3 linked regions of the Mytilus edulis genome follow. Each later gene encodes a partner of the first gene's protein in a complex. Links are inferred from orthologs where the notes say so. Each region holds a gene or a part of one and is shown in the gene's direction. Other genes may lie near its edges. The genes, in order: medium-chain specific acyl-CoA dehydrogenase, mitochondrial-like; electron transfer flavoprotein subunit beta-like; electron transfer flavoprotein subunit alpha, mitochondrial-like.

Evidence for each region.
Region 2: the proteins of medium-chain specific acyl-CoA dehydrogenase, mitochondrial-like (region 1) and electron transfer flavoprotein subunit beta-like are in contact, whole or in part, in a crystal structure (PDB 2A1T), measured with the Homo sapiens proteins. The link is inferred for Mytilus edulis from reciprocal best matches to the Homo sapiens genes ACADM and ETFB. Residues at the interface, in NP_000007.1 of Homo sapiens: Glu43, Gln44, Lys46, Glu47, Phe48, Thr51, Lys54, Phe55, Glu58, Glu59, Arg80, Glu83, Leu84, Gly85, Leu86, Leu98, Leu100, Ile108; in NP_001976.1 of Homo sapiens: Glu73, Arg76, Thr77, Tyr192, Ala193, Thr194, Leu195, Pro196, Ile198, Met199, Lys202.
Region 3: the proteins of medium-chain specific acyl-CoA dehydrogenase, mitochondrial-like (region 1) and electron transfer flavoprotein subunit alpha, mitochondrial-like are in contact, whole or in part, in a crystal structure (PDB 2A1T), measured with the Homo sapiens proteins. The link is inferred for Mytilus edulis from reciprocal best matches to the Homo sapiens genes ACADM and ETFA. Residues at the interface, in NP_000007.1 of Homo sapiens: Pro163, Lys173, Pro211, Gln232, Arg235, Glu237, Val251, Glu253; in NP_000117.1 of Homo sapiens: Arg223, Lys226, Arg249, Asp253, Ala283, Ile284, Gln285, Glu304.

The regions. Positions count from the first base shown.
Region 1 is NC_092345.1:9,939,986-9,947,070, reverse strand, and holds the start of medium-chain specific acyl-CoA dehydrogenase, mitochondrial-like, read left to right. Parts: upstream 1-3,981; 5' UTR 3,982-4,092; coding exon 4,093-4,113; intron 4,114-4,861; coding exon 4,862-4,982; intron 4,983-6,999; coding exon 7,000-7,085. UniProt on the Homo sapiens protein: Medium-chain specific acyl-CoA dehydrogenase is one of the acyl-CoA dehydrogenases that catalyze the first step of mitochondrial fatty acid beta-oxidation, an aerobic process breaking down fatty acids into acetyl-CoA and allowing the production of energy from fats.
Region 2 is NC_092348.1:27,180,263-27,188,265, forward strand, and holds the start of electron transfer flavoprotein subunit beta-like, read left to right. Parts: upstream 1-4,987; 5' UTR 4,988-5,087; coding exon 5,088-5,144; intron 5,145-7,032; coding exon 7,033-7,191; intron 7,192-8,003. Other genes in the region: phosphatidylglycerophosphatase and protein-tyrosine phosphatase 1-like, read right to left, coding at 1,777-1,926. UniProt on the Homo sapiens protein: Heterodimeric electron transfer flavoprotein that accepts electrons from several mitochondrial dehydrogenases, including acyl-CoA dehydrogenases, glutaryl-CoA and sarcosine dehydrogenase.
Region 3 is NC_092347.1:28,765,444-28,772,780, reverse strand, and holds the start of electron transfer flavoprotein subunit alpha, mitochondrial-like, read left to right. Parts: upstream 1-4,336; 5' UTR 4,337-4,394; coding exon 4,395-4,436; intron 4,437-7,337. Other genes in the region: non-lysosomal glucosylceramidase-like, read right to left, coding at 528-746, 1,561-1,676, 2,866-2,954, 4,077-4,336. UniProt on the Homo sapiens protein: Heterodimeric electron transfer flavoprotein that accepts electrons from several mitochondrial dehydrogenases, including acyl-CoA dehydrogenases, glutaryl-CoA and sarcosine dehydrogenase.

The DNA.
Region 1 (7,085 bases):
AGAGAACCGCCCAAACAAAAAACATAATAGTCGACACAATAGGCGAACCGCAAAGTGGTTTCCAAATTGTTCACTTTTTTCCTGTTTACCGTGTAACCATAGTTACTATTTGAGGAAAATACTTACCTTTTATACGAGAACAAAATCTTTCGAGCAATCTTTTCATAGCTCAAGATTTTCTTGAAACGCTCTTTATCCTACCAGAATTACTCTATAAACATGATAAACAAACTGACATTTGTAATTAACTTTCTAAATAATAAATTTAATATGTTGTGTTCTATTTTGTAGGAATTGGCTGACATTGTAAGAAGTTAAACAACAAATTAATCAATGATAGTCACTGTACTTTTATTATCAGCTCGGGTGTTTAATACATGAACCTAAAATACTGGATAAAGTGAGTTAACAAAGCGCCTATAAAAGAAAGTACTGCTATTTAAAAATTACTTACAATGAAAGAGAAAAAAACATGACATCTTTTTAATAAAACATGGAAATCAGATATATACCTACAGTAATTCGTGAGGATTAATTAAGCTATGGTACAATGTAAAATAATAAAAACAACAGATGTAGGACGGACTAGAACTAAAATATAAAAGCATGTTAAAAATCGGGATGTTAAGTTGAGATAAGCTGTATGCAATACAATGACGATCGTCGTATAGCCAAAGCTATATATTTACTAGGTGATATAAACTTTTGTACATCTTGTCTTTGGTCATAGTTTTGTTATTTGTTTGTTTTGTCTAGGGATATTATTATAATCACCTTTGTATCTACTAACATACGGGTGTTTTTGTCATGCAACAATATACATATCATTTTACTTTCTGTTCGAAATTATAAAATAACCTTCAACTACTCTCATGTACCACTTGAAAACAAGTATTATATACAATTATGGTCTATGATGATTTGTAAAGAGCAGACATCGTTTGATCTATAATAAATATATACATGTAAGTGCTAAAAAAAGTACCATTATGTCATCTGTATCATTTCTGCATGCTCATAATACAAAATTAGATAATAAAAGAGGAAATTACTTGATTTGAATAAAAAATCTATTTCTATACACAAATCACTTCTATAATCAAGTGAATCAATCAACTTGTATCACGGCATGTGTACACAATATGAAGTTACAAATAATCTATTTGAACACTTATTAGTCAGGCAAAGCCCCAGATAAGAATTCAGAAATTTGGAATTTTACCCCCACCCCACCACAACCCCCCCCTTTTCGTATGTGGCATACTTCATACAGCAGCTTCTTATGAATAATGAAAAGAAGTTAGCATAACACTTTAACTTCACTCTCCGCTGCACAGAGGATGTTCTTTCGCTAAATAATTAAAAGTTTGGAGACTATCTTGGACGCATCTACAGCTATCCAACATGTTACAGATACAGTTATGTCTGACTCATATCTTGACTTGTACATCTTCAAATTGACAAAGAGGTTCGGTTGAGAACAAAAGTTTAAGACAAAGATATAATTTCAGCTTCCCGATTGGTGAATATGAAATCATTCCTTCAAATATTTTACGTCTTTTATTCTTCAAATATATGAATAGCCGAATGAAGAAAGCATTTAACCTATAATGGTTTACTTTTTAAATTGTTATTTGTATGGAGAGTTGTCTCATTGGCACTCACACCACATCTTCCTATATCTATATAGATGTGGACAGATCACAATTAATAAAAAAAAATTAAATCAAAATTCAGCGTTTAACTTAACTGTCAATTTTGTACCATTTGAAAACAAGTATCATCTGCATCGGTTTATAATAACTGGCGGTGACGGACATCATTTATCTTCTGTAACATGTTTTTCGAACCCTATAATCGACTATCACTACGGGAAATTCAATAGAATCTGGGTTTTAGATTTCTGTTCAAAACAATTGTTTTTTTTCCTATCGTATAAAACAGAGTTTTGTGTGCCATTCTGATTGCTATTATATACAATGGATGTTGCAATCGTATACTGCACAAATTTGATTTTTGTTATTTATTGTATCTAATAAAAGTGCATGTAGCCGATATAAAAGGGTGTTGTAACGGATGACTTCATTGCATCATATTCAAGGATATGATCTAAGTGTTCAAATAAGTACATCCGTATAATTGTATTATGAAATCAAATTAGATCACGCTAACGGAAATCTATTTTAAGGAAATTAATTGAAAAAAATGTATTTCGATGCAATTATCACAATTGACAATTAAATTGATCAACTTGTGTCATATGGTATATGATCTGATGTATATTTTAACACTTATAAGTGTAGCTATATTCAGACTCAACTTCTTCAAGTACTCATTTGACGGTTTGTCTCAAAAAGCCTTAATCAAAAGCGGATCTATAGCACTTGCAACACAGTTAAAGGGATTTTAGCTTCGACTTCTTAAAAAGATATTTCAAACATTTATAGGACTTTATAGAACAGGAAATCGAGAAAAAATCTTTAAGCAGTATGTTTGGTTTAATATCGTCAAAGCTAAACTAAAAAAGTCAATCACTGTAGTATTATTGACTTGCAAGTCAATAATTCAGCTTCTTTGAATCAGGCCAATCTGTATTGATCATGTAACCTTTAATTTAACCTTTAGGGAGATTGTTTATATTATATATTCATCAAGACCATTCATAAAAAAGAAAAGAATGACAAGGGAGGCCCTATATGAATATTTTTACTATAACATGAAATCAAACAGATCTCAGTTGAAAAGTCAGATTGCACGTGCTCCCTATCTATTTGTGTTTATATTTATGATTGTATCGACTGTATCAGGTTATATGAACCTCGGCAGTTTTTAGAGGTCATCTCAATGACTTATTAGATGGCGTTTCGTCTATAAAACGCATGCAATGCTGAAACATAGAGAATAATACATTGCAAAATCCGTATCATATGCCGTATCATCCCGAGATACCAATATCAGCCCGAGGGTGATACGGCATGTGATACGGATTTTGCAATGTTTTATACGCTTTATCATATATTTCAACAGGAGACATATATATATATGAACTGCTTTTTGATCATTTGCGCCTTGGTTAACTTCAGTTCTACTTTTGTCTTGTCGAAGCACCTGGGTTACCTTACAATTTGCGTGCTGATGTTTAAAAAAAATTGTTACTTGTATTTTGTTTGTGTGTTTTGTATGGCATGTCAATGAATTCTTTTTTATAGTTGCATTTCGTGTGCCAAAAAATATGAAAACTCGACGTTTGTGACGTCATATGCCAAACAATGACGTCATTCAATAAATTGCGTTACGCCCAAATGACCGTCACGTTCATTTAGGACCCATTTTGAGGAAAAATATTTCTTGAGATGCTTGTTTTTGATTGGTCAATCTTCTCGCTCAAAACAAAAATTGAAAGTTTGTCCTTTTATATATATATTTAAGAAACTCGGAGAATTCAAAGTTGTGTAAAGCGTTGTGTATGATTGCAGGTGCATTATTAAGGGCATACGATACAGTTACAGAGGAGGTCATGACATTACTAACATAAATTGTTATTTTTGCGACGTCAAACTATGACTTATCGGGAAAAGATTCAGTTTTCGACTGTTTTTTTATCATTCAAACTGATTTAACTTGGAAAAGAGTTCATGTACCTCTTTTTTAAAATGCCATTTGGTTTGAATATTTGATAAATGTGAGTTATTTCTGAATAAAAAATGTATAAATTTTTATGATACTTATAAAAAACAGAAATTACAAATTATTATGCGTGCATCATTGAAAGCCTTAAATAAAATTATAAATATCCCTAACCAGCAGCACTGGGTAGTTGATTTTTACTCCAGTATTTCGAAGATCTAGGAATATTTTAAAATATTCGGTAATGTTAAAATTGTTATTCCCAGAAGAAAAAATGGCCTTAATTTTCTATGAGCCATAATATTTAAGACCATACGGGTGCCTAGAATTGTACTTGCTGAAATTACTCGGTATTCAGCTAACGCTCAATAGGACGTTGCTGTCCTTGAATGTTGATTATGTACTTATGTTATTCGTTGTATCTCTGGTGTAAGTCATGTGACTACAGTTTATAGTTTTGAAAAAATGGCAATGTCGTTGTCGAAGGTAACTTATCATTGTTTATATATTCCTTAAATGTTTTGAAAAGCATAAGATACATGTGAACACATAGCACCTATGCTGGTTGTGTTCCTACTCATTTTCTTAGTATAATATTAAACACAACAAACATTGGATTGTTACATGACCCACGAACTGACAAATGTAAAAATTATGAACATGATGAGTTGCATAATTTCCAGTCTGTCTTCGAGTTGTTCTATGCTTACAGATGAACAATTTTAAAATACATTTGACGATATGAATTATAAGAACACAAAGCTTGCACCTGTTTAATGTTGACTTTCAAATTGGTCTCCTGACTTTTACATAACACTACAAGTTTTGATTATATAAATATTTGACATGACATAACTGGTCTCTAGAAATACCACAGAGCACCTTTATTTTCTCAGATAGAATCTTAGTTAAAACATTTTAACCTTAAGAATTGCATTATGTAAAACCTTGCATGTATAAAGCAGATTTGTTGAAATTATTTGTTTCTTTTGCTTATGTCTGATGAAAATTATACCCCGTTTAGTTTTCATGGTTTACAATAGATTTTGAGATGTTTCAAAGTTAACTTATGTAATTTAGATAATTAATCAATCATTATTACATGTTTTGTCTGTGTTATGACCAATTTCAAAGGGAAACAGTTTCAAAAACTGCTTGTTAAGAAATGACACAGACACTTTTTGTCTTCTGTAGAAAAACACTGCAGAGATATACTTTGTATGATTTTTTTTAGGTGTCTAGTGGATTGATTCGACAAGGAAAGCAAAGTTTATGTAAAGCAGCCAGAGCTTTTGGAACAGTTCCAGACTCAGTGAATTCCACATCAGCTCAGGGCTCCGGAGGTTTCTCTTTTGGTAATATATTAGTGCTGAATTATTTCTATCAAAATATTGAAACAAAAACATAGTACAATGTAGTTATATACAGGGGTTAAAAAAATTTGTTACAGCTAACTAGCCCAGGACTTATGGCAGCAGGTTTTTACTAGCCCTGTTGGAAGAACTGCTAGTCCATCAAAACTGACCTGCTAGCCCTAGTATGCCTTAAAAATCAAGAGTTTGCTGCATAATACAAAGTGGGTGTCTTTTGTTTTGAAGGAGACATTATACACTTGACTGTATTTAATATTTTTGGTTGAATTGCTATTTATTGTTGGTGCTTAAACTAACTTAGTCGTTCCCACATTCAAAGCAAACTTTTTATTGGCATGATTTGGGTAACTAACGGTAATATTCACAGAGCATCATCTGTTTTTTTCATCAGCAACAGCCAACCTTCGAGGGGAATTGTTGTATCCCAGTTCTGCCAAATTCTCAGGAAGTAAATGCGTGATTTTTTGGCCAAATTATAAAGATCAAAGAGAAAAAACAAGGAAAATGCCGCCAAATAAGCATGAAAATGGGTGAGTCTCGCCCTAAAGACTTGGCAGGTTTGCTGTCTTGGACACTATAATTTTTTCCCCACTTTTCCCGGTCGTATTTTGCATTTTTGGGGGATGAATTTTCAGTCTCGTTACCCCCTCCATCTACCATTTTTTGTTTTGAAACTGATGAAGTTCATAGGGTGTGTGCGACTTGGCAGCCCTGCTGTCCTGGACACTCCGCGGCTTTTCCCTATCGTATTTAGCATTTTTGGGGGATGAATTTTCAGCCTCGCTACTCCCTTCATCTACCGTTTTTCATTTTGAAACTGACAAAGTTCCTGGGGTTCCCGTACTAAAATATTAAGAAATAATTTGTTGCATGGTTTCGTGCTCAAGAGCTTTGCAACAAGACAGGTCAGTACCGATCAATACATCATATCCCCAAATACCGTTAATTGAAAATCTCGGCATAAGCAATGAACAATACCCCAGGCCATGGTATGAGAAATCGATATTTAAAGTACGAGAATTGTAATCAACACATGATACTGGGCCACCCAGAGTTATTTGTTCTGTTTTTAAAATATGTACAACAGGACCTGTACAAACCAGTTCAAATTCTTGGAATCCCTGATGACTTATAATTATTAATTGAATCGGATTGGCTAACATAGAATAGTAATGAAGGGATTTTCCACTTTTGGAAACGTCAAGATTTTTTTGTTACTAGTCTGTCGGGCATATCGGGTTACACATTTTAATTGCCCGAGGCATAAATGATCTAGTCCCGGGCGTTGGGCTAGTGGATTTTTTAACCCCTGTATATATGAACCTTACATTTTTGTTATTAAGTTAACTGTAGGAGTTATGTGAATATTTAAGTTTTAAGACATGACATATATTTTTTCTTACCTTCCCTTTTTTTTTTTAGAAGAAGAGCTTTTCAGTATTATCATTTCCTAATTTATTTTTATCCTTTGTGACAGTTTTCATTGAACATGCTTCTTTGCTATTCTTTACCATGATTACACATCCTAGAATTTTCCAATCCTAATCAAAACTATCATCAGAAAATAATGTGACGATCACCCTTATTTTTCATTCCAGAGTCTGACCATACAGTAAACATGTACCAAAAACTACAACATTATTTTCTTTATTTGCCAATCAGGTGCCCAAAATGAGCAGTATAATTGCACCTAGATCAAACTCTTCATTTACATTTTCAAGTTGTATGACCCTAGCAATTAAGCACAGGCATAATCTGACCCTAATTCCAACTCTTCATTTCAGAGTAATCAGATATTGACTCTGATTTACTCTTCAACAATGCATAATCTTATCAGATATTGACCTCTTATTAACTCTTCAACAATGAGTAGGGATACCATTATCCTTACTATTACAGAGGTCAGAGTTATTGAGACCTTACAGTTGTAGTTACTTTTAACTTTTAGTATCTTATATATAGAATTATTTGATCTTTAGCTTAAACCATTCTATTGCAGAGTTATCAGATGAACAGAAAGAATATCAACAGACTGCAAGAAAGTTTGCCAGAGAAGAAATCATACCAATCGCAGCACATCATGAT
Region 2 (8,003 bases), on another chromosome or scaffold:
TTGGATGTTGGATGTGTATGGATTGATAGTTTAGTCTTAAATGCATGATTTTTTTATTAGTTGTTAGTGACTTTGAACTAGCTGTCAATTAACTTTGAGTACTCTCAGATTTGTACCTAGTGTATTTTGTTGTTGTTGTCGGCCACGTTACTTGTATTTTTGTCCATCTAATGAGTTAAGCCTTTTCAACTGATTTTTATAGCTCATTCTTATGTTGTACTGTACATGTTATACCACTGTCCCAGGTTAGAGGAGGGTTGGGATCCCGCTAACATGTTTGTATTTATGTATGTGCCTGTCCCAAGTCAGGAGCCTGTAATTTAGTGGTTGTCATTTGTTTATGTTTTACCTTTTTGTTTTTCATTCTTTTTTTGTACATAAATAGGGCCTTTAGTTTTCTCGTTTGCATGTTTTACATTGTCATTTCGGGGCCTTTTACAGCTGACTATGCAGTATGGGCTTTGTTCATTGTTGAAAGCCGTACAGTGACCTATAGCTGTTAATCTGTGTGTCATTTCGGTCTCTTTGGAAAGTTGTCTCATTTGCAATCATACCACATCTTCTTTTTTTATGTGACATGTTCCTTTATTATCATTTTTCATTGTAGTCTTTGTAGTTAATAATTTTGTACAGTCCAATGTCCTTGACAACATACATGTAGAGTTGACCTATTGCTTATAGTATCTTAGAAATAGACAAAACCATGAAAACTAAACATTGTTCAATGAACCATGAAATTGAGGTCAAGGTCAGATGAAATCTGTCAGTTGGACATGCATATACTCTTTACTATCAATCAATTCACAAATTTCATTTGTTGTTTATTATCTTTTTCTAATTTAGTCCTTTCGTAATCAATAATTTTGTTCAGTCCAATGTCCATAATCAAATAGAGTTGAGTCTTGACCTATAGCTTATAGCATTTGAGATATAGACCAAACACAAATACTTAATATTGTTTACCGTAGTGAACCATATAATTGAGGTCAAGGTCAGATGAAATCTGTCAGTCAGAGTCAGACATATACCCCTAACAAAATTCCATACATCAAATAAATTTGACCTTTTGCCAACAGTATTTGGGATAAGGACTTCACCTACCTTTAACCTTGGTTACACATCCACTGAAAAAAGGTAAAAGTCGGGTGTACTGAACCTGATAAACCTATAGACGTTGAAATTACCCATATATACAAAATGTAGTTTGAAAAAATCATTTTATTTCAAGCAGTTACTGAACTATGAAAATGAGGTCAAGGACAGTGGACAAATGACAGATATAAACTAGTTAACAGAGGTATCTGCATAAAAAATATTAAGCATCTAGGTCTTCTAGTTCAACGGTCTAAAATATAAAGCTTAACACAAATGGTTTATGCAGTGACTGTTGCTGGATGTCTCACATCTTGTACTTTCTGCACTTGCCAGAAAAAAAGCAGACATAAACATGGTAAAATTTGTTATCAAGTTAAAAGTATATCAAGTGTATCTGCATCATCACCCTTTAAAAGAAAAATCATTGCAGTTCAAATGATGCCTATTTAGAATGTTCCCATGGGTGTTCACAGATTGTGTGTTTTCCAATGTATCATAGTATTAAGAAGCTGTATTTTGAAATTTTGGTTTTGGGGTGGGTTTATTTTATATATATTTTTGCTTAACAGCAAAATTTGCATTAGATGTGCAACATTTTTTTTAAATCCTCAAAGGGGGAGAAATCAATATGGCTGTTTTTTATAATTTCTATTAAGGGGAAAGCACTAACGATGGTTATACCTTTTTACTATTTTCCTTCAAGGGGAGAGCACCCAATACCACTGTTTCATCAATTCTGTTGTACCATTGTCTGTTTGTTATCTTTGTCATAAGTTTGTTATAATACAACGTTGGATAGAAGGCAATCTTCCCAAATAAGCTTCCTGACATAATCAATCTTTATTCTTCTATTTTCAAGCTGCACCAACACCTAGAAATATAAAACAAATGACATATGCATGAAATGGAAAATATTTAAAAAATAAAAATCAAATCAAATATTTTATTTTTCCAATAAGGGTCCCACAAGGGGCATTTACAATTAGCAATTATGATAGTATAAGCAACAAACATGAGACATTGTACAGTATATAACGTGACAGATATTATAAGAAACAAATGAAAATAGCATTAATAACAAAAATACATTAAAAGTACTTTTTTTTCCTTCCTTCCATCCTTTTAACCATTATTATTTAATTGTCCAGCAGTGCACAAATAAAAAAATATTAATAATAAAGTTTGAACAGACTTAAATTATTATCTATAAAGATGGAAATTTGTTCATCTGCAAGAGACACCAAGGGACGGTGCTCAAGGATATACTGTTGATTGAGATAGGCAATAACAGCAATCCTTCCCGTGTCAGAAGCAGATGAACAAAATAAATAGAGAAACTGAATCCTGTCAATTAACAAATATTATTTTAAATAACAACAATGAGGGGGGATAGGAAAAAATGTAGGAGGGGTCCTGATCCCAAAATCCCGGGCTTAAAAACACGAAATCCAGAGGTCCCAAATTTAAATAAAGTAAATCCGGAAATAAAATAAAAAAAGAATTCCCGAATCCCAAAGGGTCAATCCCGAAATCCCGAGCTTAAAAACACCTGATCCCGGAGTCCCGATAAAGGTCCTATCCCCCCTCAACAATAGCTAATTTTGCGAAACATGTAATATTAATCTGCTATTTGCAGTGTTTAACCAGGAATATACACAACTCTTTTAATACTGTTACAGTTGAGTTCTCACAAGACAGCAGCCATAGCAATTTCTCTTGGGAATTTAAATTAATGAAATTGGGACATGATTCAGAAATAATTTGATATAACTGATGTCTGTCTTACAAAAAATAAATTTTTATAAAAATAATATTTTATTGTTGAATTTTGTATGCAGTAGCATTTTTCAAAGTACTTTGTTTATCCCATGAAATATCAAACATTACCACATAGTACCAGAGGTAATTCAAACAAAAAATATACCCTTAAGAAAACAGATTTACAGAGTAATTGAGAGATTTATATTCTAAAGGACAATTCATCCAATTCATCAGAACTACATCATAACATACTCAGCTCTGCATTAAAGAGTTATTATGATTAAAGCAAAATATCACACACAGGGTTTCTTTTGAGATTGGGAAATGATGATGTAATATTTTTGACATAAATTACTAGCCAAGATTTTTTTTTTTTTTTATCTGTCCTACATTCTATTTATATGCATAGTTGTTGTCACTTTCTTTCGTATATCATTATATAGCAACATATAAATGAAAAAAAAACTTTCATTGTTTGTAAGATGCAATCATAATAGTTTTAAATATAAGAATGTAGGACAGAAAGTCACAGGACAAAAAGTCACAATTCATTTTTTCTAATTATTTTCTTTGAATAAAAACCACTTATTTCTACTTTTCTTGAGCTATTGTATATAAACCAACTTTGTTAACAAAATTTATCAAAAATATATCAAAGATGATCAAATAATTGCTAAAAAAAACAAAATGTCAAAGTGGTTTGGCACTTAAATGGCTTCATGGTGCCAAGAAATATATCTTTTGCCTGATTAGAATTAAATAAATCTTGATTTTTCAAGTATAATGACACATTTCCTAAACTTTAATAATGTTGCAATGTTTAGATACCTTTTCATGTTAGCACAAGAAACAACATTTCGATCGCCATCGTTAGACAAGATGAAAAGTATTCTAGACAATTGTGGATTCTCTTACTTATGGTCATTCCAAAACACATCACCTAACATTAAATCGATAATTAAACAAAGACTAGAAGATCAGTTTACACAGTCATGGTCAGGAAAGGTAAACGATTCGCCGAAAGCCCTGAATTATCGCCTATGCAAGACATCACACAATTTCGAACACTACCTTAACGTACTTGATGATAAAGATGTAATAACAATGTCGCGGTTTAGGACAATGAACCATAAACTGCCGATTGAAAATGGTAGATGGCAAAACATTCCCCGAGAACAGAGAAAGTGTCCGTTGTGCAGAGTTGCTATAGGTGACGAATACCACTATGTAATGGAATGCAGCAGTCTCTTAACAGATAGAACACTACTTATTGACAAGAAATGACTAACAAACTTTAATGTTTTAAAATTTAATGCTATTATGAACCAAAAACAGAAATCTAAACTTCGAAAATTGTGCCAATTTATTAGAATTATAAATGACAAACTGGATTCTCTCTGATGTTAACCTGTCGGCTATACTGATCATACTGTTGTAAAAAACTCATATTTAATGCTTCCTCAACAAATGTACAATACTACATATATGCAATGTAATGTAAACTAATGTGTTTTTCTGTATACCTTTGTCCAACTTAGGTGATACCAGAATAAAATGATATATAATTTATATATCATTTTATTTATATGAATATATGTATTTATAAAAGTAAATATTTCAAAATATTTCTCTTATATATATATTCAAATAATTGTCAACAAATTATTTGTGACTTTTTGTCCTATCAAATTTGTGACTTTATGTCCTGTGACTTTTTGTCCTGTGACTTTCTGTCCGTTTATCTATAAATAATATCAAATAAAGCATAGGTACGAGTTGATAAAAATAGGGTACGAGTTGGTTGAGTACGAGTTGTCGTATACAACATTGTCATTGAGTTTAAAAAATCATATTCCGGTATACATGTTACTGAAAAAAGGTTTCTTTTTTCATTTAATTCGAAAACTGTTTGTTCCTAAACATTGACACTTAGTAGCAGGTCTTTTTTATATCAACATTTACATTTTCACATTTCACATGATTCTTTGCCAAACTCTTCTGTCTTTGAAAACCACAAAAGTTATACAAAGGATAACTTATTATTCAAATGTTTTTATAACCTTTATTCTTTTTTTTTTTAACTTTAGTTTGCTTGGTGTGGTAAAGTTTAATTGAAATTCTAATAACTTTATTTTTAACAGTGTAATTTTATTGACGATTTATCCATTACAATAAAAATTAAAGTTGTCGTTATTAGGGCTCCAATAAATTCTCCCGGTTCAAAGGTCAAAATGTCAGCACTGAGAGTGTTAGTTGGTTGCAAAAGAGTTATAGATTATGCTGTTAAAGTAAGATATTGTCACCCTATAGGAAATATTCATAGCAGTCTAAATAGTCAGGACAACTTTTTACAAAATATGTTAAAAAATATGTAACAAGCGTTTGGTTAAACATGTTATTTTTTTGTTAAAGTTTAACCTTTACCACTTTTTTATTTAGAGCTTACACTTACAAATGACTTAAGTATCATCAATTACATAAAAGACCATATTAATTTCACAAATGGGCTAATATGTAAATGTATAAACGATAAAGTAATGAAATGACATGTCACACAAAAGTCTCTGTATTCAGTGGCATGAAAATTGTAGCTATAGCCTATAGTTTTTGTCCTGGGACTATAATAATTTATACTAAGAATAATAATAGAATAAGTACAATAGTCCCCCAGCTATGCCCATGGCCTAAAGTGAAGCACATACACTAAACATGGGAAATGGAACAGGATCTCTTTGTGTAAGTGTCAACTTTGCATATTTAGGTTCCTGGCAGATGATTCTAGAGTTCCTGGAGGGCCCTAGCAGGATACATATAAGTGATGCAAAATCCTGCATTATCATTATGCTGCAACTCTAAAACAGCCTGTACTAATCTTTAATCATGTTAATGAAGTTAATCCAACAAAATCTTTAAAGGCATCAAAATACAAATGTTAGAATAGCACAGGATGCTTGCCATATGGCTACCTTATTTCAAGTCTAATCAGAGATGAGTGCCAAAATCAAATCATTTCACTTTCAATTAATGAAAGATTTGAATTGTATTCGTATTCATAGCCAATTTCTTTACAATTGTTATTGATATTGATTTCTTATTAACTTCAATCAGCTTTCTATGACAATTTTTTCCGAGGTCAAACTATTTTCTCTTCAGTTGTTTGGACAGAGTATTAATTGAAAGAGTTATCTCCTCCTTTGTTTTTATTTCATGATATATATCGCAGCTGACAGAGTAGAGGTTACATAGGAATCCTCATATAGGTTTGTGACCATTAGTCACTTTTTGGAGCTTCCATATGATAGAGAACCACTTTTTTGAAATTGTCATTTTAATGTAATGTATTAAATCTCTAAGGACATGAAGGATAGGTTAAGCTATTGTCATGATTGTCTTTTTCATTTTCACAATTCCAGAGTTTAAATTCAAACTTGTGAATTTTGGATAATAAATGGAAAATCCCTTTTTCAAATTCATTGAAATTTTGAAGGACTGTTTCTGAGAAGCACAGGTTGAGTTCATTTTCTTCATCACTCTTGCTGTTCCAGAGCATTGTTCATGTTGTTGCTTGATAATTGAATTAAGATCAATATTTTGTGGTTTCTTAGGATTAAATGGAGAACCATTTTTAATACCATGTGTATGAAACTGAAGGAAGTTTCAATCGAAGTTTTGACAACCAACTTAGATTAGGTTTGATTAGCATTAAAACCGATATTGTATGGTTAGTGATATTGAGTGACTCCAAAAGGAATTTAAGTCATGTAAGTTCTCTACGGTCAGTAGGCTTATTATTGTCTTGTAACACAGATTTATTCATTGATAAATAGAGGAATACATCATTTCTGATTTAATCTACTACACTTCACATCAGCATGTTTATTACGGAAATAATACCCTATGGAAAATCCATCATTGAATTTTTATGCTGGTGTACTTCTTACCAAAAGGAAAGAGGTCCTTACCAGGATAAAAATCACTGTTACTGACACATTCCACTTCAACTTTAAGTACATTGGTGTTTATTATATGAATCTAACATAATTATACAGTGATTTGCAGGAATACTTTTTTGGAATATAAATATGTAAAGAGCAAAAGTTATGTAAGCAAGGTAAAATTTGTAATTCAATGTTTCATATGAATGATAACAGTCATGCATTCTTTTTATTTGAATAGATTCGGGTGAAGCCAGATAAAACTGGTGTGGTAACTGATGGAGTCAAACATAGTATGAACCCATTTGATGAAATAGCTATAGAAGAAGCTGTTAGACTTAAAGAAAAGAAAATAGCATCAGAAGTGATAGCTGTGTCATGTGGACCAAAGCAATGTCAGGTCTGTTTACATATGAGTTAAATGAGTTAGGTCAAATATGATTATCAGGCATAAATATAAAATTACTACTTAGATATTGGAAGATGTGGTGTAAGTGCCAATGAGACAACTCTCCATCCAAATAACAATTTATAAAAGTAAACCATTATAGGTCAATGTACGGCCTTCAACACAGAGTCTTGGCTCACACCAAACAAAAAGCTATAAAGGGCCCCAAAATTACTAGTGTCAAACCATTCAAACAGGAAAACCAACGGTCTAATACTTAGCATGTTTAGCAAACTAAATGTTAGAGACAGTAAACTTGCAAGGAATGATGATAGTTTTAATTAACAGATCTGTACATCTGAATTTTTATCATGTTTATGTAGGATAACATAGTTGCCATGTGTTTATGTTAATTCCCCTGATTTTTAAGCTAACAATTCATTATTTTATCTTTATAGAATGTGTTACTCTTCTGACACAAAATGTATCGAACAAATTTCTAAGTTTGTATTTTGTAATGTATCATAAGAATCATTAATTGTACATATATTGTCCTTACCACTTGTTGTAAAGCAAACAAAAATCAACCAATCACAGATTTCCTTATAATGTTCAAAATGTTTTCAGTGTACAAAATGGTAACATTTTGCTACAGAATTTAAAATATGCATGACTATAGGTGTAAAACTGAAAGCGTCTCTTAGTGTTGAGGTCAGTTGTCCTAGATTTTCATGATCCATTATGATCTTAATATATATTTCAATGATGATTCATGTAAAATTAGTTGATGGAATACACTCATAGGAATTTATTGAGCCATGTGA
Region 3 (7,337 bases), on another chromosome or scaffold:
TTTGTTTCAAATAAAGAAATACTTGGCATGAGTAAAGTTTCGTCATGTCGAGCACTATAGAAAAAATTCCCATGATGTTTATTGCATATAAAAAAAATAACCATCACTGGAAGTTAACCAATCAAATTTTCAACCTTTTTCTTCCTGTGTACAAGCTTAAGAAACCAGGAAACCTCAAGTTTCCAAAATATTCTATAGAAAAAATCAATTAAAAAACATAATGGTACTTTGAAACACCCAAGATATAAGTCTATGACACAGATTTGTTTACTGCAATAAATGTAGGATAAATTTCCTACAACTGTCAAATTCAAGGGAATACTTTTTCAATCCTTTTATCGTATGCAACCAGATGTGATGTACTATGATTTTGTGGTATTACACCTTATTTATGTAACCTGGCCCTATATTGAGTAATTGTTGCTTGCTAATTTAATCCTCTCATCATGCGCATAATAACAAATGATACAGAAAATATATACAATTTTGCCTATTACATCAGTTAGGGAAATGTGTTTACAACCTACCTTGTAATCATTAGGGAAGATGGGTGATATTTGACGACAGGTAAGTTTAAGATTAAACTCAGGTATATCATATACAGTCCATGATCGGGGATAAAGTGCATGATATGTAGCATTCTGTCTGGGAAATCCCCATTCCCAGGATTTTAAGTGCTTCCCTTTTCCTCCTGTTAAGACTTTTTGGTAAACAGTTTTATTGTTCTTTCGTATACACAAGATGAACTACAAAACAAAGATAGAAACATGAAACAAACTATAATATAAAAATAAGATGATGAGACAATGAGACAATTATCTACAAAGGACATAGATGTAAACACCATTAGACAACTATACAGCCATCAACAATGAGCAAAATCAATACCCTATGCTTTAAAACTAAAAAAAGGCTAAAGGATAGAAAAAGTTATCCATTTATACACTTTGCTTTCACAAAAAAAATAACCAGTGTCTGTCTGATGTGGTTGGTATCTACAAATCTTCCTTATGCTAGAACTCACTATAGTTACTTAACCAGGAAATTAAAGTTGCCCCATTCTTTGCATCTTATATTTTCGATAGTTTCTTTCTCCTGTATCTTGTACAAATGCATGGTGAAAATACTACTTGATAAAAAATTCAACCATGATCATATAAGCATAAAACTGACTTCTCATCAACAATTTATCATAGATTGACATTGTCATGTATTTTATGGTGAAATTATAATTTTTCCATGTGCTCCACAGTAAAATACCTTTCCAACAATATTGATGCCACATTTCAGAAAATTCTTATTTATAGTTCCTGAACACTAAATTTCATACATGGTCAGAATTTGTAACAATATATTATAGGTATTCAGTTAACAAAAAGTTCAAAATCTGAATTTAAGGAAGTTTTGATATGTAAATGTAATACCGTAGAAAAATGTGGCAGAACTTTTATGGAATGAACAGATGGACAAACAGATGGCATACACCAGAATAGCATTATACCACTCTCATTAGGTTTGACAATGGTAGGTCATGAAGATTGCAGTTATTATTGTACTTACAGAATTTGCTGGTACAATAGTATGTTCATATATCCCTGGCACCATCTGAAATCTACAAAATTCACCTCGGTAACCACGACCAATGGTCCCACACCCTATACCACCTATTGGACAGCCTGTAAAATATGTAACAGTTTATCTTAAGAATTCTTCTTACAATACAAGATTAAAGGAACTTCTATTTCTTGACACCACAATCCATACCACTAATAAGACAACCACTAAACATATTATGAAATATCTACAAAATTATTAAAAAAATCCTCAACCATGCACTTGTAATAAATATACATAAATGATATAGTTACTGTAAATTCAGAAATTATTGCCGGCATTTACTATTGTGATTTTGTCATTTTAGACTTAAATGTGATTTCAATTTTTAGGATATTGAGAAAAAAATTATATAAAATATTTCAAAATGCTAGTTTAAATTATTGCGTTTACAACTTTGTTGCATTTTTCGCAATAATAAAAACCTCACAATAATTTCTGAATTGACAGTAAACCAACACAACTTTCCCAGGCAGAAACAGTCAATTGGCCCACAACTTACATTGCCATACAGAAATCATGCAAAATAAACAAGATTAAACCATTCCACAATCTATATCCCTTATAAGACCACCTGCAAAATATGTACAAGTATATTTAAAGAATTCTCACTAGAAAAAAGTCCTACAAATATTGTATTATTTCATCATATCTAACATGTCGAACTCATTCTAAGTTACGGGACCTGAATTTAGTATGTATCAGTTTTACCCATTTAATATGACCTGTGACCTTTATTTCAGGTTTATTGTTAAAACCTGACCTGTCAAATTTTCTCTGACAAGCTATCTTTTTGGGGTTTTTTTTTTTTATCATTTGTTTACTGTCTCATTGACAGATATTTAACATGTTATTGAAACGTCACAAAAAAGTTACCATGTTTGTCGACATAAAAGCAGATCATCAAGAAAAATTTTGAGCAATACAATGCGTCTCCAATTCTAGATATTAAAATTGATTGACGAGTCTCAAAATAGGAAAAAAATCCTGTCAGAATTTTTTGGTATATAAATCACCCTTCAAAACTATTGTCAATACTATGGTGGTCAGTTTTTATTAGTTTTGAAGCCCAGGTCTCTGAGCAGAACCACTGAGGCAAGTTTCAGTAGGAAACCTGATACCACATTGTGGACAGACTAGTGAAACAGTAGATAAACTCCTTAGACGACTCAGATACCAAGACTTGATGCAGTGGTCCACTCAATTTGGGGATTCAGTTAAACACAAACTATGTCTTCTGTTAATTCTTACCATAAATAGGCTTGTGAGTAACTTGATTGAGATGATCTATAAACATTATTCTTCCCTGTCTTTTGTGCTTTATCCATACTTTCATATATCTGTAACAACCAACAGTACAAAGTTTTAGACTTTCCGACATTCAATAACATTTTTCTGATAAATAGATTAATTGTTGTTTGCAGTGGAAAATATTTCATGATGTTACGATTTTGTCTTGCATCATGCCACCAACAGACACATAAGAATTCTTTTAACCTTTGACATTTACCGTAAGCATTTTAGAACTAAACTTATGGAAAATACACTATCCAAGTTCAGGGGCGGATCCAGTCCTTTTAAAAAGGGGGGGTTCCTAACCCAGGACAAAGGGGGGGTTCCAATTACATGTCCCGATTCAAATGCATTGATCGTCCAAAAAAAAGGGGGGGTTCCAACCCCCAGAACCCCCCCTCTGAATCCGCGCCTGAAGTTCAACATTCAATGAATAGAGCATTTGCATCAAGGCTCATATAAAGGCCATATTGGAATCATATTAAAGAAATTGCTTGAAAATTTCCTGGTGTATTTCTGTTAAACGGTATCTCTCTATATAAGTCATCTGACTTGCCAAGTGTAAAAAAATACAAAATTATTGTAGGAAAGGTTTTGTAGAAACACAATTTTGTGATAAAAAGGAACATTTTCTGGCAAAAGTAATGTCATCCACATACATGTATGTTAGAAACAGACCAGATGCTGTAATAATATAGAAAAAGAAATTATGTGATATGTGCCTTGGAATATAGATGGCTGCAACGTAAACAAATAACAAATTTCAGAAGTTTTTTCATCCAATTCAAATCCCTGACACAAATTTCTTTCTTAATCTTGTTCATTCAAATAAAATGTTATCATATACAAGCAAAGATTCCATGATTTCCAGTTATAGGAAATGTTGTGCATCCTGGACTAATCAGTCTATTTTTGCAACATGTGCAATGAGGCAAAAGAACGGTACAATTTAGCCAACAAATTTTTAAAGAAACAAACATAAATCTTTCTTGATTTGTCTAGAAGGAGCATGCAATTTTGATGCATGTGCAACAGCACCTTTCCACAAAGTACCTTGCCAGTCTTTATGCATGTTTAAAAACTTGAAACACCCTAGTAAATTCGTACCTATAACCATGTTTAATATGTGGCATAATGTACAATGTCTGGTCACAATGTAAAACGTTTACCTATAGCTAAGACCAATTAATTCAGGAATGTGGGTGAGTCTGGGTTTTACAAATGGATCACATTTGTCCTTGCATTCATGTTCGAAGTTTACTCTCCAACCAAATTTGGGGACATTGGCAATGTCCTCTTTTGGTGTAGTTATGCTAGCTTCGGGGGAATGGTCTATATGTTGAGGTTTTGGCATCTTGCACTTGAAGCCTTGAAGCAAGCAGGGAAGCAAGTCAGTCTTGACCAATACGAATGTCGTTTCTGCCCGCATTTGTTTTAATATTTCAACAGTCCGATTACTTCCGGGGTAAAAATATTGTTGCATAAAAATGTTTTCGAGGTGCTGCAGAACAAAATTAGCTAATCAGACGGTAAACTAACGATAATACTTTTTTTGCATATCATTTTAAAGAGTTATCTTTATTATTTGTGTATATATGTTTTTATAAAGATTGATAATGCGTCACTTTGCAACTTTGACCTTTGATTTTTGTAAAATTATCAGATTATATAAATGAAATATTCCATTTAACCAGTCAATGTCCCACAAGGACAGTTTACAAACAACAGTTTTCATTTAATTTTTACATAACATAAACTTAGAAATAAAAAAATATATACATGTATGCATATACAGCAAGAACAGCATGTACAGTGTTGGTGTTAGTATCATGATTATAAGGATTATGTACGCTTGGGTATCGGGATCGTTCGCTCTGATTACATGTTTGCCCTAGGTTCGTTCGCACTGAGTTTGTTCGCCCTGGGTTCTTTCGCCCTATTTTCATTTATGATATATATGTACAATGGATACGTTACATTAATGATGAAATAAAATATATATATTAAAATTTGGGTTACACTAAAGACCTGAAAGTGGACCTGAAAAGACCTGAAAAGACCTGAAAATATACGACTAAAATTATTCAAATTGCAATAACTTTTTTATTATTGGATGGAATTTCTTCAAGTTGGAATTTTATTAATTGTAAATATTCAGATTTCATTCAAATTAAAAAAAATTAAATAAAAAACAATTTTTTGATGCCAAAAGTTGGACCTGAACGGAGAAATGAAAAGACCTGAAGGGACCTGAAAATCTATGTCGGACTAATTCTAACTACAATAACTTTTTTAATATTCAATGGATATCTTTCAACTTTTGTTTTTGTGACACAAAAAGTTCAATATAATGATAAAATTAAAAAAAAAATATGAAAAATACCATTTGGGTGTGAAAACTCGGAACTGAACGGAAAATTAAGGAACATAAATTTGCTTGAAAAGACTGCGGTCAGATTTATTCAATATCTTTAACTGTTTTCAATCATTCTCCTTGAAATATGAATTTTGTTATAGGAAAGGTATAATATATCAATGAAATTATAAAGAATTTTATCGAAAATATAATTATTTAGTTACAAAATTCGGACCTTGTCGGTGAAATAAAAGACATGAATGGATTATAGGGGTAGTTGTATTTAAACTCGCAAAACATTGTTTTCCTATTTGTTTCTATTTTAGACAAAAGTCTATTGAAGAGAACGAATGACTTTATATTTATACAGGAACATATTTGAAAACAAAGTACATTGTTATTGATGAATCCTGAACCTAAGGGGAAAAAAGAGGAAGATTGTACGTTGAAATTATTCAAACTAATACAACTTGTTTAAACTACATTAATATATATTTTATTCTTATTCTATATTAAAGCTGGTCGTAAACTGCTTTATTTATAAAATGAAAGTATTAGTATTGCTTCCCCATAAACCATATGTCATTTAAAGAGTTCGTCGATTGGAATGTTTTAATTACACGAACGTGTGCCGGTTGTAATTCACACCTTGTTTTGATATTAGGTGATAATTGGATCATTAGTCTAAATAAACATTTCACTTTAATCTTCTAATTGGATTATCACTTTATCTTGTTACACGAACTAAACATTGCTCGGTCACCAATTAAAGTATAGTATAGATCTGTACGAACACAATTTTTACCAAAGTACTATTGTCATTGGCCTAATAATATCAAACTATTAAATTTACTACAAGCTTCTAGTAAGTCTCTCACGATCAAATTATGTAATTATGTAAAAGCTGCATTGAATATTCGATCTTATATAGTCTCATAACTCAATTTATATGTCATTGTATTTTACTATTGTTCTCTGTTGTCTATTCATGTTTTATATTATGTAATATATGTTGTTAATTTTGCCATAGCCTGTCTATGCTTTGCAATAAAGATTCATTCATTCAAGTATAAACTTTACAAATTAAAAATATAAGCATATATCAAACTAATCAGTGAATTCAGATCAACGCTCTTACTTTTTATAAATTATAGTCAACTTTGAATCGTTTTTAGTCAGAATAAAAATATTCAACAAAGTGCGTACAAGTATAGTTTCCAACGTTATTATATATCAGCATGTCTCCTGCATTGCCATTACCTTTGCTAACTGAACACACCAGACTAACATCATACCGATCGAGACGCTATATATATCCAGGTTCATTCAGGACTTCATTTTTCATTCAACAGGTCCGACGTTTGTCACAAAGTGCAGGTTCCAGACTTGGGACACCACAAAAATTGTGACGGGGTTATTGTAGTTTAAAGACACCAAACCTTTTTCTCAATTATTTATTTCTATGGTATATCTCTTTGACTTATAAGTTTTGACATCCGAGTTTTGATTATTCCTTGGTATCTTCAATCTTTATCATGTTAGTATCTCCTGTCAATAAAAAATAGGGAGATGTGGTGTGATACCAATGAGACAGATCTCTACAAGAGACCAAATGACATCGAACATGAAAAGTTATCAATCATATTTTTCGTCTATGTTTATTATTTTCGTTTTAAAATAATGTGGAATTTTAGGCTCATTCAGATTTTGAATTTTTCGTTCAGGTCCGAATTTTGACACCCCAACAATATTTTTCACATATTTTTTTTCATATTATCATTATATTGAACTTTTTGTGTCATAAAATCAAAAGTTGAAAGATATCCATTGAATATTAAAAAAGTTATTGTAGTTAGAATTAGTCCGACATAGATTTTCAGGTCCCTTCAGGTCTTTTCATTTCTCCGTTCAGGTCCAACTTTTGGCATCAAAAAATTGTTTTTTATTTAATTTTTTTTTAATTTGAATGAAATCTGAATATTTACAATTAATAAAATTCCAACTTGAAGAAATTCCATCCAATAATAAAAAAGTTATTGCAATTTGAATAATTTTAGTCGTATATTTTCAGGTC